Anolis sagrei: one gene and its partner. The protein of the gene in region 1 interacts with the protein of each later gene in a pairwise test. Links are inferred from orthologs where the notes say so. Each region holds a gene or a part of one and is shown in the gene's direction. Other genes may lie near its edges.

Region 1 (8,442 bases):
CCTATAGTTTGCTCCAGTTAAACCCTTGTGCCGGCAGGACTAGAGACCAACAGGTCAAAGGTTTGAATCTGGAAAGAGTGAGGAGGAGCTCCCTCTGTCAGCTCCAGCTCCCCATGTGGTGACATGAGAGAAACCTCCTACGAGGATGGTAAAACATCAAAAAACATCCAGGCATCCCCTGGGCAATGTCCTTGCAGACGGCTAATTCTCTCACACCAGAAGCAACTTGCAGTTTCTCAAGTTGCTCCTGATACAAATAAATAAATAAATCTGCAAAGTGATATCTGGGCAGGTGGTACTATCTTGGCTGTTATCTCAGACAGCAAAATATTTATGTTTAGGCCTGAAACTTGGGACACCAATGAAACTTGGACGTTCCAATATAATTAGGGGTGGAGAAAGTACAGCTTATGGGCTCCATGTAAACCCCATCTCTCAAGTTCCCACAAACTTTATAGATCACCCACATTTTACAGAAGATACACAAACGTCTGGTGTTCTGGCAAACATCCCCCAATCCCCAAAGCTATTTATTTTCCCAGAAATAGCCTGAAAAACAGCAAAAAAAAACAAAACAAAAAAAAAACAACCAAACCAAAAAAAAAAAACCAAACCCACTGGAAATAGAAAAGGGAAGTTACTCATGGTTACTTTCAACATTGCATTTTGGTCAATTATAGCTGAATATGCAGGAAGTTATTTCAGGGGGACAGTGATGGGGGGGGGGGATCACCCTTATTTCACAATCTACAGAAATGTCTTCATATTTGAAAACCAAAGAATATAAAATAAAAAAATCAAATATGTGGAGAAACCAAAATTGACAGGTTCATCTATATATGCTTGGTGCTTGGGAAACATGTCTCTTCAGTTTTAGAAGAACTATTCAAAAAGCCGAATCTCCATAGGGATAGGTGTCAGTACCTTGGAATGCTCCTTTAAATGTGGATTAAAATCTGAAGTACATTCAGTGCCCAACTGACATGGGAATCATCAGTATTTGTTGCAAGTTTCTTCTTATTAACTATTCCATTACAAGCAGTTATGACATCATCCTCTCCATGTTAGAAATACCTGCATCTATTGAATTTGGCCAGAGCAAATGGGGGAGAATTTAGATTTGGTTTATTTTGGAAGAATTTGTCAAAAATTGAGAAAAAAAATCACATTAGGGATTGAAAGAGCCCAAAGTTGTTTAAAAAAACAAACAAACTCTAATGTGAGAAAAAGGGATTCGTGAGGTCTCTTTCACATTACAAAATTATAACACTTTGATGCTACTATAACTGTCATGGGTCAATCATATAGAATTCTGGGATTTGTTGTTTCATGATGCAATTAAAGTTTTCTTTCAGAGAAGTCTAATGCTTCACTAAATTGCAAATCCCAGGACTCCATCTGATGCATAAATGGCAATTAAAGTAGCATAAATGTACTATAAGTTGCAACTTGAGCTCCAGTTGTGCCTGGGGAAGTCAGACTTGGCCAGGTGGTCCATGTTCTTGTTATATCTCGTATAGACTACTGTAACGTGCTCTATGTGGGGTTGCCTTTGAAGACAGCCTGGAAGCTTCAATTAATCCAACAGGTGGCAGCCAGATTCCTTACTGGAGCAGCGTACAGAGAGCATACAACCCATCTGTTGTGTCAGCTCCACTGATTGCCAGTCTGCTACCAGGCCCAATTCAAAGTGCTGGCCTTGGCCTATAAAGCCCTAAATGGTTCTGGTCTAACTTACGTGTATGAACGTATCTCCACTTATGAGTCAACTAGAGCTCTAAGGTCTGCTGGGGAGCCCTGCTCTTGGCCCCACCCCCTTTGCAAGCATGATTGGTGGGAGTGAGAGACAGAACCTTCTCAGTGGTGGCCCCTTGGCTATGGAACTCCCTCCCAGTGACATCCAGTTGGTCCTTAGCACTTCTGGGGTTTTTTTTTCAAAAAAAGCTAAAGACCTGACTATACAGCAGTTTGAAGAATAGGATATTACAGAATTGAACGCAGGATTATGAACAAGGATTATGGATGAATGGAATTATGCACTTTATATGTTTTAATCTCTTTATTAATATATGTTGTTATTTGCTCAAGTGATTTAATTATTGAAGGGGTATGTTTTATCATCAGAAAGATAACTAGCTGTAGGAGGCTGGAAGTGAGCATATAAAAAACCCAGTTTGTCATTTTTTTTTAAAAAAACCCACTAAAATTAAAAATCCACAAATAGATTGATATTCTCTTGCACTGTAGAAAAATTAAGGAGGACATGCATGTTTTCTTTCATGGCTGGAAAAGTAGATGGGAAATGGTTTTTAGCAAATTATGTATTTACAATATCATAAACCTGAGAAAGGATTAAACAACCCTTGCTGGTCCAGTTTTCTGTTTCTGAACCCAGCTTCTGGGGCTCCTTTTCATCTAAAGATGAAAAATCGGTGATACACAACTAGATATCCCATCCACCATGACCGCAGCATTAGGAATGATGAGAAAAATATGTAGATTAGAAGGCATTATGTTTAGACAAGCTCTGGTATCTGCTTTTTTCATGAATGAAGGACTGAGCATGCATTGTTTGACACCACATTAATTGCCTTGGTCCAATACTATGGAGTCATCGGAGTTGCAGTTTTACACAGGCTCTAGCCTTTCCTGCTAAAAGTGCTGATGCCTCGCCAAACTAAAAATTCCAGGAATCCATAGCATTGAATCATAACAGTAAAAGTGGGCTGAAACTGTGAATACACCCTAAGAGAGAGAGATTGAGATTGAGAGAGAATAGCTCTAAAATACTGTATATGTGCACTTCTCAAACTTTACCATGTATATAGGAAGGATGGCAGAGTGTTTCTGTTTCATTTCTCTCATTATCTAATTGTCTAAAACTTTTATTCTTTCAATTCTTCTGAAGAGGAACTTCTAGAATTAATGCAAACTCTTATTTAAAAAGAAACCAAATAAATCCTGAATCATCTTTACTTGCCAAATCTAGTAGACACCTGAAAGGACCATGTATACCTGCCTGCCATGTAGCTATTAAGGTTCAGAAGACTGTTAGAGAAAAAAAGTCAGTTTTAATTTAGGCCTGCAAACAAGGCTGAATGCACAGATACCGAAAACTAGATTTTTAAGAACCAAATATTCAGATGTTAACTGACTAAAATAATTATCCTTTTCTCTATTTTTAAGAAAGCTCAAGCTCTCTCTGCCATGTTTATGAAGAATATTAGAAAGTCCATATAAAAAAAAGCAAATCAAATTCTCATCCATCTAGGGCAGGGGTCCACAAACTTTTTAAACAGAGGGCCAGGTCACAGTCCCTCAAACTGTTGGAGGGCCGGATTATAATTTGAAAAAAAACATTAATGAATTCCTATGCACACTGCACATATCTTATTTGTAGTGCAAAAACCACTTAAAAACAATACAATAATTAAAATGAAGAACAATTTTAACAAATATAAATTTATTAGTATTTAAATGGGAAGTGTGTGCCTACTTTTGGCTGATGAGATAGGATTGTTGTTGTTGTTGTGTGCAACCTAAGTCATTACAGACTTAGGTTGACCCTAAGCGAGGGCCGGGCAAATGACCTTGGAGGGCCGCATTTGGCCCCCGGGCCTTAGTTTGAGGACCCCTGATCTAGGGGCAACTTGTAATTTCCCTCTATCTGTTATGTCTGAAAGATGGTAGATTGGCTATAGCTTTGTTTGTATACTAATCAAGTCAAGAATGTTTCCATTGGGTGTATCCACCAATCCTGCACTGAACAAAGATAAAGTTATGGAGAAGTGGTACAAGAATGCAATGTACCATTGTGTTGCTTCTCTATGGGAGAGACAGACCACAGCCCGCCACAAATTCTGGCACAATTGCATTGTAGGTATTTCTGCAGAGGTTAAAGCAATATCATCTTGGTGTCTTCCTGCTCCATTCTATCTGTTCTCCATGGGCCCTCTTTTTTATTTCCTACTGCACAGCATGAGGTGGTGATCTAAATCCAGGTGGGTTGTGGCTATTCTGTGTCTTCAAGTCATTTCTGACTTATGGTGGCCCTAAAGTGAATGTATCATGAAGGTTTCTGGGACTAAGAGAGTGTGACTCATCCACGATCATCTAATGGATTGTTATTCGTGGGATTGAGCCCTAGTCTCCAAAATCATAGCCGAGTGCTCAAACCATTGCACTCTGCACTCTAGATGCTAGTTCCTACTTAAAGTAGACCCACTGAAGAAATTGACATTGAGTAAATCAGCACATACTTAAGTTGCACTCATGATCCAGTGTGACTTGTCTACTCTAGTTGATGCCATCATTTGGATTTTGATCACAGACTTACTGTGGACAAGAAGCCTGAGGACTCAAACATATTCTGGAATATTTTGGAATATGGCAACCCTAAAAACAATGTTAAAAACAATGCATAGGGACACCTTCTCTTCCATGTTAGGCAAAACTAAAGAATGGCTAAGAGTACTGTAGTCCTCCTGTGACAGTGTGGAGCGGACCCTTTTGCACTACACAAATACAGTGTTCTGATTCCACTTTAACTGAAATCCTGGCATTGGTAGTTTGATGAAGCACTAGGAGTTTCTGGCAGAGAATTCTAAATACTCCTCTCTACATTGCAAATCCTTGAATTCCATGGGGTGAAAACATGACCATTTCATCCTATGGAATCAGGTCATTATAAGTATCTGATTCCATAGGATGAACCTCGTTGGGCTGACTGGTGTGCAGTTCATCAGACCCCCTTTGATGAAAACCACACTGCCATGTAAATAAAAGTCTAAGCAGTAGCAGCAGCAACACTGTGGGTTTTTCAGGAAACAACCTCTGATCATTTGCAGAACTGACATTTCTGTCCAGAGAGCAAATAGTTTCCTCTGTCAATCTGAATGCACAAGGCGGAACCAGGAGGAAAGGGTGGAGTCACCAAGGAGGAGAGTCCTTGGGTTGCTTCATTTCAGGCTGTCATCACGTTGAAACATCATTTTAACTCTGAAGTAGCGTAGATGGAAAGACAAAATGACGCAGCCACTGTACTAAATTCAGGAGTTGGAACTGTCTTCTTGGAAAGGTGTTATGATGGATGCTTGTTCAACTAGTAAGTATTCTCTTAAATTACTAGAGTCTAGATCTTTTTATGGTGTCTTTTTGATGTGTGCCTAAATATCCTGAAGGTATCAGATCTTGTCTGATCTTGAAAGCAGGGTCAGACCTGGTTAATACTTGGATGAGACACTACCAACAAATGCCAAGCACTGTAGACAATATTTCAGCAGAAGGCAATGGCAAATCACCTCTAAGTACTCTTTGCCTAAGAAAACCCTATGAAATTCATGGGATCAGTATAAGTCAATGGGCAATTCAAAGATATATACACTAAAATATGTACTGTCTGTTTAAGGGATCTATCTCATGTGGCATCATCATCAGAAGATCCCGGAGACAAATGTGTCAACTGGGATTATGATCCTGGCTAGGGATTTAAAGCTTCTTGTTTGTGGAATTAATTTATTCATTTTATTTATGAAGATTTTGTTTGGTGTATCTGTATTACAATCTCCCCCAAGTCTTTCTAATTGTCTGCTTGTATTTTAAGTTGTATTTAAGACAGAACTATTTTGAGACCATTTTCAGGTGAAAGGAGTTCTGTATAAATGAAATTGTCATTAATTTTCTTTGGGCCACATGTCTATGCATTTATATTTTGTGCAATAAAAGAAGAACATGATTTTTGTCTTTTTAATGGTTAAGTGGACCAGGAATCCTTTTATACTACTACCTAATTATAGCACTAAGAGTCTACTTCTATTGCTATGGCTGCACCCTGTGGAATGCCGGGGTTTGTAGTTTAATAAAACACTTAGAACTCTCTTGCTGATGATTTTAAATCACCTTCCTTAAACTACAAATCCTAAATTTTCACATGTGGTAACCATGACAATTAAAACATTGGACACAAACATAGTGTGAAAGGAACCCAGAAAAATTCAATTATGTATGATACAAACTACAAACTCCACTAAATAGAGTTCCTTCTTCTACACAAGTGTTGAAGGTGGAGAAGCCTTGTTCTTCATTGACCCCTTGCTACTCATGACTTGGCTCAAGACAAATTTGGGTTCAGAAACAGAAGTTTTCTAGATCTTTTTACATACGTTTTCATATAGCGAATAACAAATGTAATTTCTTGGCCAAAGAGGTGAATGGATGCATGCCAAAGTCTTGGAAATTTATTTATTGTTGTGTGCCTTCAAGTTGTTCCCAACTTTTGTCAACCGTGTCATGGAGTTTTCTGAAGCTAAAGGACCTAATTACACTATAGCATGGATCCACTTTAAACCCAGTTTCTGCCTCCTGCAGAATTCTGGGGCTTGTAGTTTAGGGAGGGGCCTGTAAACTGCTCAGCCAGCCAGGTCCTGGACCTCACAAAACTAAACCTTAGCGGTCTGCAGGAGGCAGAAACTGGATGTAAAGTGGATCCATGCTCTGGTGAGATTAGGTTTGTGTAACTTGCCCAAGACCACCCAGTAAGCTTTCAAGACTGAGAAAGATTCAAACCTTGCTCTTCAGAGTTGTAGTCCAACATTCAAACCATTATGTCATATTGGCTCTCATTCTTAGATGTGTATTATAGAATTGTCCCCCATTTCTGCCAAGCTTAAAGATAAGAGTTTTGTACCTTTAGTTTGGAACAGAGTTTGGCTAAGACTTGGGGATCTTAATAATTGAAACATTGACCTTTTAGTTAGTAGTTCTTAATAGATTCCAAATCATAATGAGACAAACAAACTGTATGCATTTCTTGTTCAGACTCTGTAATCCTTGAATCATTTTTTTTTATCCTGCCCTTCAACGAGATTGAAGATTGGACAGTGTATGTCATTCTTTTTCTCGTTTTGTCTTTGCAACAATCTCTTGAAGTAGGTGAAACTCAAAAGCAGTGAGTGGCCCAAGAAAATCCAGCAACCTTAACAGTGGAGTGAAAATTCATTTGAGACATTTACTTATATCACTAAAGATTTAATCACATTGAGTTTCAAATGGTGATAGTGAGGTGAATCTGGCGTGAGATCCTGTCACCCTGCACCCCAATCACCCCAATAATGTGGCTACCTCCTGCAGAATTCTGGGGGTTGTTGTTTAGAGGAGGGGCCTTTGAAATAGTCAGCTACCACAAGGGAAAGAGTGTCCCACTGACTAAAAAATGCAGAAAAGGGAAGAAGGATGAGGGACTTCTAGTAAGTATGGCTTGTCATGGGGCGGGGGCACGGCAACTGCTGAAATTCCCTCTGGTGAAAGACCATACATTTCCCATCCCAGCTAAAGAGGATGATACCATCACCACCATACTCTCAAATTGTTGTCCTGCCTTTTCAGCTGCTTTTAAAATGACCTAGTTTCCTTCTCATTCTCTTGCTCCCCCCCCCCACCTTTGTCCTCAGCTTACCTCAATTGCTTCAAACTGAGGTCAAAACGTGGAAGTAGTTTGCACTCAATTAACTCAGTGAGGAGAGAGGAAGGAAGAAAGAAGATGATGGGATCTTGTCCTTTTCAGTTGGCTCAGGCAAAAGCAAACTATTACAATCTCTCCAATATTCTGTACTTTCTTCCCAATATAATTTCCTATCTTGAAAATATTCTGATATTGCATAGTCATACATGTCCCAGTTTTTATCTATGAAATATTAGAGAATATGAACCCTTTTCCCAATGCTTTGTTGCCTGATGGTTAAAATGCAAATATGGTACCTGCAGTGTCCCCATTGCTACTTCTTCACTCAACTTTGTTACGGTTGTTTTATGCCTTCAAGTCATTTTTGACTTATGGAGGCCCTAAGGCATCTCTATCACAGGGTTTTCTGAGAGCATGTAACTTGTCTAAAGTCACACAATGCATTTTCATGATTGACTGGAGATTTTTATACTGCTGTCCATAGTTATAGTTCAATGCTTAATGTATAATCTTCTCATTCAGCAGTTCTCAAACTGTGCTCCATGGAGCCCATAGGACTCAATGAAGCACAGTCAGAGGCTCTGCAGGGGCCCCTCGGAGCCCCCTCCCCCCAGCTAGGAAGCATGCTGCTGCGGCCTATGGGGCTTCTCCACTGCCATATTCTGCAGGGTCTCCCCTGCCCCCGGTGGGAAGGCCCTGCAGGCCGTTGCGTTGAGGGTGCTTTTCCTGCATGATAGAAACAGGTTGGGCTGAGTGGCCCCTGGAGTTGCTTCTATTAGCATTATTATTATGATTACTTTTATTATGATTTCAAAGGCAAGATGGTAATCTGTTAAGAATGCTTTGATTTGTGCTTTTACTGCATGGCAGAAACAGGTTGGACAGGATGGCCCCTGGAGTTGATCTTATTATTATTATTATTATTATTATTATTATTATTAACAAGTTATGTGCCATGTGCATATTTTTTGTTCAATTTTTTT
Region 2 (7,721 bases), on another chromosome or scaffold:
TTCAAATGCATAGTTACTTATTATTATTATTATTGCTATTATTATGTATTGCCCACTTTTTCCCTCATCACTTAGAGCTGCTGACAATACTAAAAATGATACAATATACAATTTAAAACCTAAACACATAAACATTAAAATAGGACTATTAAAAATAGATAATTAAAACCATGCAAGTCACCAACAACCTATTAAAATTTGGGAAAAAACATTAAATCTCACTCTTACACAACATGCATCTTCTGAACCAAACTAGTGCCTAACATATCAGGGCAGAAGCATACTGGAAACCGGCTGGAGTAGAATTGTAGAATGAATGCAGTTTGACTCCACTTGAACTGGAGCCATGGCAGTTGAAAGTGGTATCAAACTGCACTAATTCTGCAGTGTGGGTGCGGCTCAGACAATACCCTGGATGGCTTCCAGAGGTTTCCTATAATTCAAGAAAGTGTTCTGTGTGACTCAAAAGTCTGTTTTCTTATCAGCAAACATTCTCCAACTAGTGGCTGCTTTGGTGATGTTTTCAGGCATACTGGAAACTTGGACTACATGATGTGATGTTACTGTCTGCAATTGGAAGCTGAGACTATTTCTATCCTTTCGACTATCTTTATAATATGGGGGCCAAAGTCTAAAACAGCTGGAGGGCCAAAATTTGCCCATGCCTGGTCTACACTGACCACATAATTCAGTTCAAACTACAATATTTGGCAGTGTAGATCCAGTCTGACAGGCCCCATAAATTGCCATATAATGCAGATTGAACTGGATGGTATGAGTTGACACTGTCCTATAATCCAGTTCAATGCAGTTCATCTGCATTCTGAAACTGCATTTAATGGCAGTGTAGATGAGAGCCTCAATCACCTTTCGGTCAGCCTAATTATAGGTATTACATAAACAGGGTTTTTGGAGTCCCCTGTGACCTCAGAAATGGGTCTGAAACCCCAGAGCTAAGAATTGCACCATCACTGTTTGAGCAAATGGCATGCGAGAGATTGCTGGCGTCCTTTCACCTGCATCTGAATGCATGATTAATACCAGGTAAAATGCTGAGCCAGCTGGAAATGAACTCAAGTGTCGTAATTCTGCCTAAGTGATTTATTTTCCCTTTGCATGAACTTGAACAGCCTCTGCGATGTCAGATGGGGATTCCCTTTAATTAGACCTGCTTTTCATTTTAACCCAGACTGCCCCTCCCAGCATTTCTCACCACTGGCTGTGCCGAACTGGGACTTGCAGTTCAACCACATTGGGAGGTGTGTCATTGCTCACCTTTGTCCTAGAAAGGTTCAAATGAAAAGTCCCAAATGAAAAAGAAAATAAATCTTCTCTATGGGTGCCTTTCCCAAGATATATTTGCCTACGTCTGAAGAAGTCATCCTCACCATTAATTTCTGTGCTGTTGTTCTATTGCGATATCCAGAGAAACCAACATAATAAGAACAACACAATACACCATAGTATAAACAGCTTTGCTAATCAGTTTTTATTAGTAACAAATTTGCTTAATAGGGGCCCTTCCACACAGCCCTATATCTCAGAATATCAAGGCAGAAAATCCCACATTATCTGAGTGTGGACACAGATAACCCAGTTCAAAGCAGATATTGTGGAATTTTCTGCCTTGATATTCTGTGGAAGGGCCCTGGATCCACACTCAGATATTGTGGAATTTTCTGCCTTGATATTCTGGGATATAGGGATGTGTGGAAGGGCCCATGTTACAGCAAGATCTACACTGCCATATAATGCTGTCACTGTATATAATGTAGTTCAAACTGCATTATAGGGGGTCTACACTGACCATACAATGTGGTTCAAATCCTAGGCCCCTTCCATACAGCAGTATAAAATTCACAATTAACTGGATTATATAACAATGTGGATTCAGATAATTCAGTTCAAAGCACATATTGTGGAATATCTGACTTGATATTCTGGGTTGTATGGCTGTGTGGATGGGCCCCTAGCAGGCATGTAGCCGGGGGGGGGGGGGGGGGGGGCTTGGGGGGCTTCAGCCCCCCCCCCCCCAAATTCTCATGGTGGTCTGCGAAAAGGCTTTTCTGGTACATTATTTAAACTGTTACGTTTATTCGTATCATGATCTGATCACCATGCTCAATATATCCCATATGCATGGGGGTATTGGGGTAACAATACAAAAGGTTTGCTAGGGTAGACCCTCTTTCACTCAGACTCAGCCCCCCCCCCTCCCCGAATCAAAATCCTGGCTACGGGCCTGGCCCCCTGGTGTAACTTTATAGTCAACTTCTGGCAGAAGCTGACCACAGAGTTGTATTGGAGGCCCCAGGGCCCTTCCACACAACCATATAACCCAGAATATCAGGGCAGAAGATCCCACAATATCTGCTTTGAACTGGTTTATCTGAGTGCATGGAGTGCCATTACTTTCCCGCAGAAGCGGTACCTATTGATCTACTCATATTTGCATGTTTTCAAACAGGAAGGTTGGCAGCAGTTGGGCCTAACAGTGGGAGCTCACCCCACTCCCTAGATTTGAACTGCCGACCTTCCAGTCAGCAAGTTCAGCAGCTCAGTGATTTAACCCGCTGCACCACCAGTGGGTTATGATACAGAGATCTAAATAGATGGAGATTATTTAAAGCCAAAACAAAAACAGCAGCAGCGATGGGACCTGTATAAATGAATGGAGGCATCTGCTCATATTTTCAATCTGGTATCACAATTACTAATACTCATGTTAGGGGGGGAAATGTCTGTAAGCTTGACATTGCTGACCCGAACTGGAAATGGTGTGGCTATGTACTCATATTGAACCTTGGCTCAGCATACCAAAGACAGATATGAGACATGGCAAAGGGAGTTGCTTGCAACTTGGGCCCTCCCTCCAGGTGTTTTGGACTCCAACTCAGCGACTGAGGGGGAAAAGGAAAGTGCCCGAGGCTGTGAGGAATGGTGGGAGTTGGAGTCCAAAACGCTTAAGCGGCTGTGGGGAGAAAGGAAAGGGCCTGAGACTGTGAGGAATGGTGGGAGTTGGAGTCCAAAAAACCTAGAGGGAGGGCCCAAGCTTGCCCATGCCTCGTCTATAATGTGTTTTGGTGCAGTTAGTAATCATTGGAAGCCTTTCTATAGCTCCACACTCCCAATATCTATGCTGTATGAGAGACATCCAATTATTTTCTCTTTTGGAAGGAGAGCGAGGGGACCTGAACATGAGGAAGAACTTCCTGACTGTGAGAGGTGTTCAGCAGTGGAATTCTCTGGCCTGGAGTGTGGTGAAGGCTCCTTCTTTAGAGGCTTTTAAAACAAGGCTGGATGACCATCTGTCGGGAGTGCTTTGAATGCGATTTTCCTGCTTATTATTTATTTATAGTGTTTATATTCTGCGCTTCTCACCCCGCAGGGACTCAGGTGGCAGATTACAATGCACATATACATGGCAAACATTCAATGCCATTTGGACATATGACATATAGAGACAGACACAGAGGCAATTTAACATTCCAGCTTTTTCGGCTTCATGAGGATATGCTCGATTCCGGCAACAGGGGGAGCTGCTGCTTCACCATCCACTTGTGACACGGAGTCCTTGATGGAGTACTTCCTCATTCTTCTGCACACTGCTGGAAGGTTTTATGGCATCGTAAATGCGTTAAAATAGCCTTCCCGCATAAAGCGGTACCTAAATTTCCTACTTGACAGATGCAACTGTCTTTTGGGCTGCATAGGTCAACAGCAGGGTTTGTAACCGAGGCGAGCCACGCGCACGCATAAAGCGATACCATAAATTTCCTACTTGACAGATGCAACTGTCTTTCAGGCTGTATAGGTCAACAGCAGGGTTTGTAACAGAGGAGAGTCACGAGAACGCATAAAGCGATACCTAAATTTCCTACTTGACAGATGCAACTGTCTTTCGGGCTGCATAGGTCAACAGCAAGCTAGACTATTATTGGTCGGGAGCAATTTTCCTGCTTCTTGGATTGGATGGCCCATGAGGTCTCTTCCAACTCAAGGATTCTATGATTCTATGATTCTGTGTCCTATATAGGATATGGTTTTAAAACCCTTTAAGGTGAAATCGACCTGTGTGTGGCCAAACCCTGCAAAGGTCGTCCACCTCTGCTCTGGCGGACAATTGGTGCTCTGTCCCTTTAAGGCGCCACTCCTCGGGTGTCTGGTCAGCACTAAAGCGGGCAGCATCTGCATGCAGAACCCGTCGCTGCGGCTCTTGCCGCTTTCGCTCCCCCTAGCCGTCGCCACAGGCACGCACCAGCCCTTTTGGCCGCAGCCCTGGAGCGCTTCCCGGCAGTCACACCCCTCTTGGACAGGATGTATGCCATATAAGGATATTTACGTCAGTGGGTTCCCGAGCCTGGGCCGAACCATTTCGGGAGCGGGGGCGGAGCCTGACGCGGCGCCCGGCTCTTAAAAGCGGCCCGCCGCGGAGGACGCTTCAGGCAATCATCCCGACGCCGCCGTCAGGGTTTGTCGCCGAGGAGAGCCACGAGCACGCTTTAGTAACCCATTTCGGGGCGTCCCTCCGCCGCCCCTCTCTCGCCGCCTCCCCCCGCCGAGGTGGAACCTTCCAGTCGTGACGTCCGTTCATTCAGAAGTCCCACCGCAAGAGGATAAAAGGCGGAGGTGCCGCTCTTTTTACTCCAGAAGCAGAACTAAGCAGTGAGGGGAGCAGACACAGCAGACGACGACGACGGGCTTTGCCACTCCGAGAGGCGCTTCTTTCGGGAGAATTGAACCGCCCCGAAAGGACACGGAAGGGTTTGTGTCAATCCCCGAGATGATGTACCAGGGCTTCGCCGCCGACTACGACGCCGCTTCCTCCCGCTGCAGCAGCGCTTCTCCGGCGGGGGACAGCCTCACCTACTACCCGTCTCCGGCAGACTCTTTCTCCAGCATGGGATCGCCTGTCAACGGGCAGGTGAGCGAGAGAAGGACGCGGGGAAGAGATTTTCTGGGGTTGGATGGGGCGCCTTGAAAGGCAGGCGAAGTGGGTCCCTTCTCCCTTCCTCGCTCGGACTCCAAAGAGCTGATGTTTCCTTATTGGATGCTTGATGGATATATAGCCTTATGGAACATTAAATATTATTATGACTATTAATATTATTGTCTTATTGGATGTATGCTCCTGTCTTGTTGCTTTGAGTCTCCTTTAGAAGGGGATAGAATAATAATATAATATAATAATGTAATATCATAATATAATCTTACTGGATGCATGGTCCTGTCTTTTGCTTTGAAGCCCCTTTAGAAGGAGATAGAATAATAATAATAATAATATAATATAATCTTACTGGATGTATGGTCCTGTCTTTCGCTTTGAGCCTCCTTTAGAAGGGGATAATATAATACATAATAATGTAATATAATAATATAATATTACTGGATGTATGGTCCTGTCTTTCGCTTTGAGTCTCCTTTAGAAGGGGTTAGGATAATAATAATAAAATAATATATTATAATATAATATTGACTTATAATCTATTATAATATTGACTTACTGGATGTATGCTCCTTTCTTGTCGTTTGAGTGTCCTTTAGAAGGGGATAGAATAATAATATAGTATTAATAAAATAATAATATAATATAACAATATAATATAATTATATAATATATACATATATTATATAATAATATAACAATACAATATAATATTTATATTATCTATATTATATCATTATATTATATATAATACTACATATATAATCATAATAATATACCAATATGATATAATAATATTTATATTATTTCATTATGTTATATATGATAATATTATATTAATATATTATAATATAATACAAAATAATAATCGTGCCCTATATATTCCCAATTCCTTTGTTCAGAAAAGGCATCATTGGCCATAGAATTAAATGTATAATCTTACTGAAGGTATAGACGAGTCTTAAGGGGGGGGAATAATAACAAATGACATTTATTATTGGTAGTAATATGATTATTATCATCTCCCGTATCGCCCTACATATTTCCCTTTGTTCAGAGGAAGGCACCACTCAGTATGGGGTTATATAGAGGCAGGGGCGCGGGTGATTGGCGTTTTCTCTTTTTTTCTCCCCCTGCTGACACGCGAAAGAAAAAAAAAAGATGAATGGGGAAGGGGCGGGGGCGCTCTCGGCGCGCGCGTAAAAAGCGGCTCCATTGATAAAAACGCGGCTCCATTCAGGAGACTCCGGAGCGGCGCTTGCGTCAGCGCGGACGTCAGAGATATTTATAGCCTGAGCCCCGTTCGCTCGTGCGGAGCCTGACGATGGCGGGCGACGGTGGCCTCGCGGCTCCAAATAGCGTTTCTGGAGACTCTGACCTTTTTGCTTTGCCTCCTCCCTTAGGACTTCTGCGCCGACCTTTCGGGTTCCAGCGCGGGCTTCGTGCCCACGGTGACGGCCATCTCCACCAGCCCGGACTTGCAATGGATGGTCCAGCCTACGCTCATCTCCTCGGTGGCTCCTTCCCAGAACCGCAGCCACCCTTACGGCCTGCCCGCCCCGCAGACGGGAGCCTTTGCCAGGGCAGGACTAGTCAAGGCAGCCAGCAGAGGGACCAGCATTGGGCGCAGAGGCAAAGTCGAGCAGGTAGGTCCAGAGAGACAGCACGCCTGCAGGAGGAGCTGCTAAGCAGGTTTGAGCCAACCTGGGTCCTCCAGGGGCTTTGGACTCCAACTCCCACCATTCCTAACAGCCTCAGGCCCTTTCCTTTTCCCCCTCAGCCGCTAAGGAAAAGGAAAGGGCCTCCTGAGGCTGTTAGGAATGGTGGGAGTTGGAGTCCAAAGCCCCTGGAGGACCCAAGTTGGCCCATACCTGCTGTAGATGCACTCCCACTGCCCTAGGAGTCAAATATGAAGTAGAGTTGAGCTATATCTCTTTCTTTCTGGAGATTAACAGCTCTGTTTTCCCTCTTTTTGCAGCTGACGCCAGAAGAGGAAGAGAAGCGGCGAATTCGCCGTGAGAGGAACAAGATGGCAGCCGCTAAGTGCCGCAACCGAAGACGCGAGCTGACCGACACCTTGCAATCGGTGAGTCTTTCTTCTCTAGGCCTTTCCCCAGTCCTCCAGAGGTTCTCTCTGTCTCTCTCCAGGCATGGGCAAACTTCGGCCCTTCGGGTGTGTTTTGGACTCCAACTCCCACCATTCCTAACAGCCTGGAGTTGAAGTCCAAAACATACCCAGAGGACCAAAGTTTGCCCATGCCTGCTCTAGGCCTTTTCATGGTCATCCAGATGGGTTGTTGTAGGTTTTTCGGGCTGTATGGCCATGTTCTACAACAGGGGTCCTCAAAGTAAGGCCTGAGGGTCGGATAAGGTCCTCCAAGGTCATTTACCCAGCCCTCGCTCAGGGTCAACCTAAGTCTGAAATGACTTGAAAGCACACAATAACAACAACAATCCTATCTCATCAGCCAAAAGCAGGCCCACACTTCCCATTGAAATACTAATAAGTTTATATTTTTAAAAATTATTCATCATTTTAATTATTGTATTGTTTTTCAGTGTTTTTTGCACTACAACTAAGATGTGTGCAGTGTGCATAGGAATTCAAATTATGTTTTTCTCAAATTATAATCTGGCCCTCCAATAGTTTGAGGGACTGTGACCTGGCCCTCTGTTTAAAAAGTTTGAGGACCCCTGTCTAGAAGCATTCTTTCCTGACGTTTCACCTGCACCTGTGGCAAGCATCCTCAGAACCATATAACAAAGAATTCCCCTA

Evidence for each region. The genes of interacting proteins can lie anywhere in the genome.
Region 2: the proteins of CYTH4 (region 1) and FOS interact in a two-hybrid assay, tested with the Homo sapiens proteins (2 studies listed by BioGRID and IntAct). The two-hybrid records come from large-scale screens. The link is inferred for Anolis sagrei from reciprocal best matches to the Homo sapiens genes CYTH4 and FOS.

Annotation. Positions count from the first base shown.
Region 1 is NC_090025.1:165,885,258-165,893,699, reverse strand, and holds the start of CYTH4 (cytohesin-4), read left to right. Parts: upstream 1-4,941; 5' UTR 4,942-5,082; coding exon 5,083-5,104; intron 5,105-8,442. UniProt on the Homo sapiens protein: Promotes guanine-nucleotide exchange on ARF1 and ARF5. Promotes the activation of ARF factors through replacement of GDP with GTP.
Region 2 is NC_090021.1:305,110,833-305,118,553, forward strand, and holds the start of FOS (protein c-Fos), read left to right. Parts: upstream 1-4,453; 5' UTR 4,454-4,783; coding exon 4,784-4,924; intron 4,925-6,348; coding exon 6,349-6,591; intron 6,592-6,923; coding exon 6,924-7,031; intron 7,032-7,721. UniProt on the Homo sapiens protein: Nuclear phosphoprotein which forms a tight but non-covalently linked complex with the JUN/AP-1 transcription factor. In the heterodimer, FOS and JUN/AP-1 basic regions each seems to interact with symmetrical DNA half sites.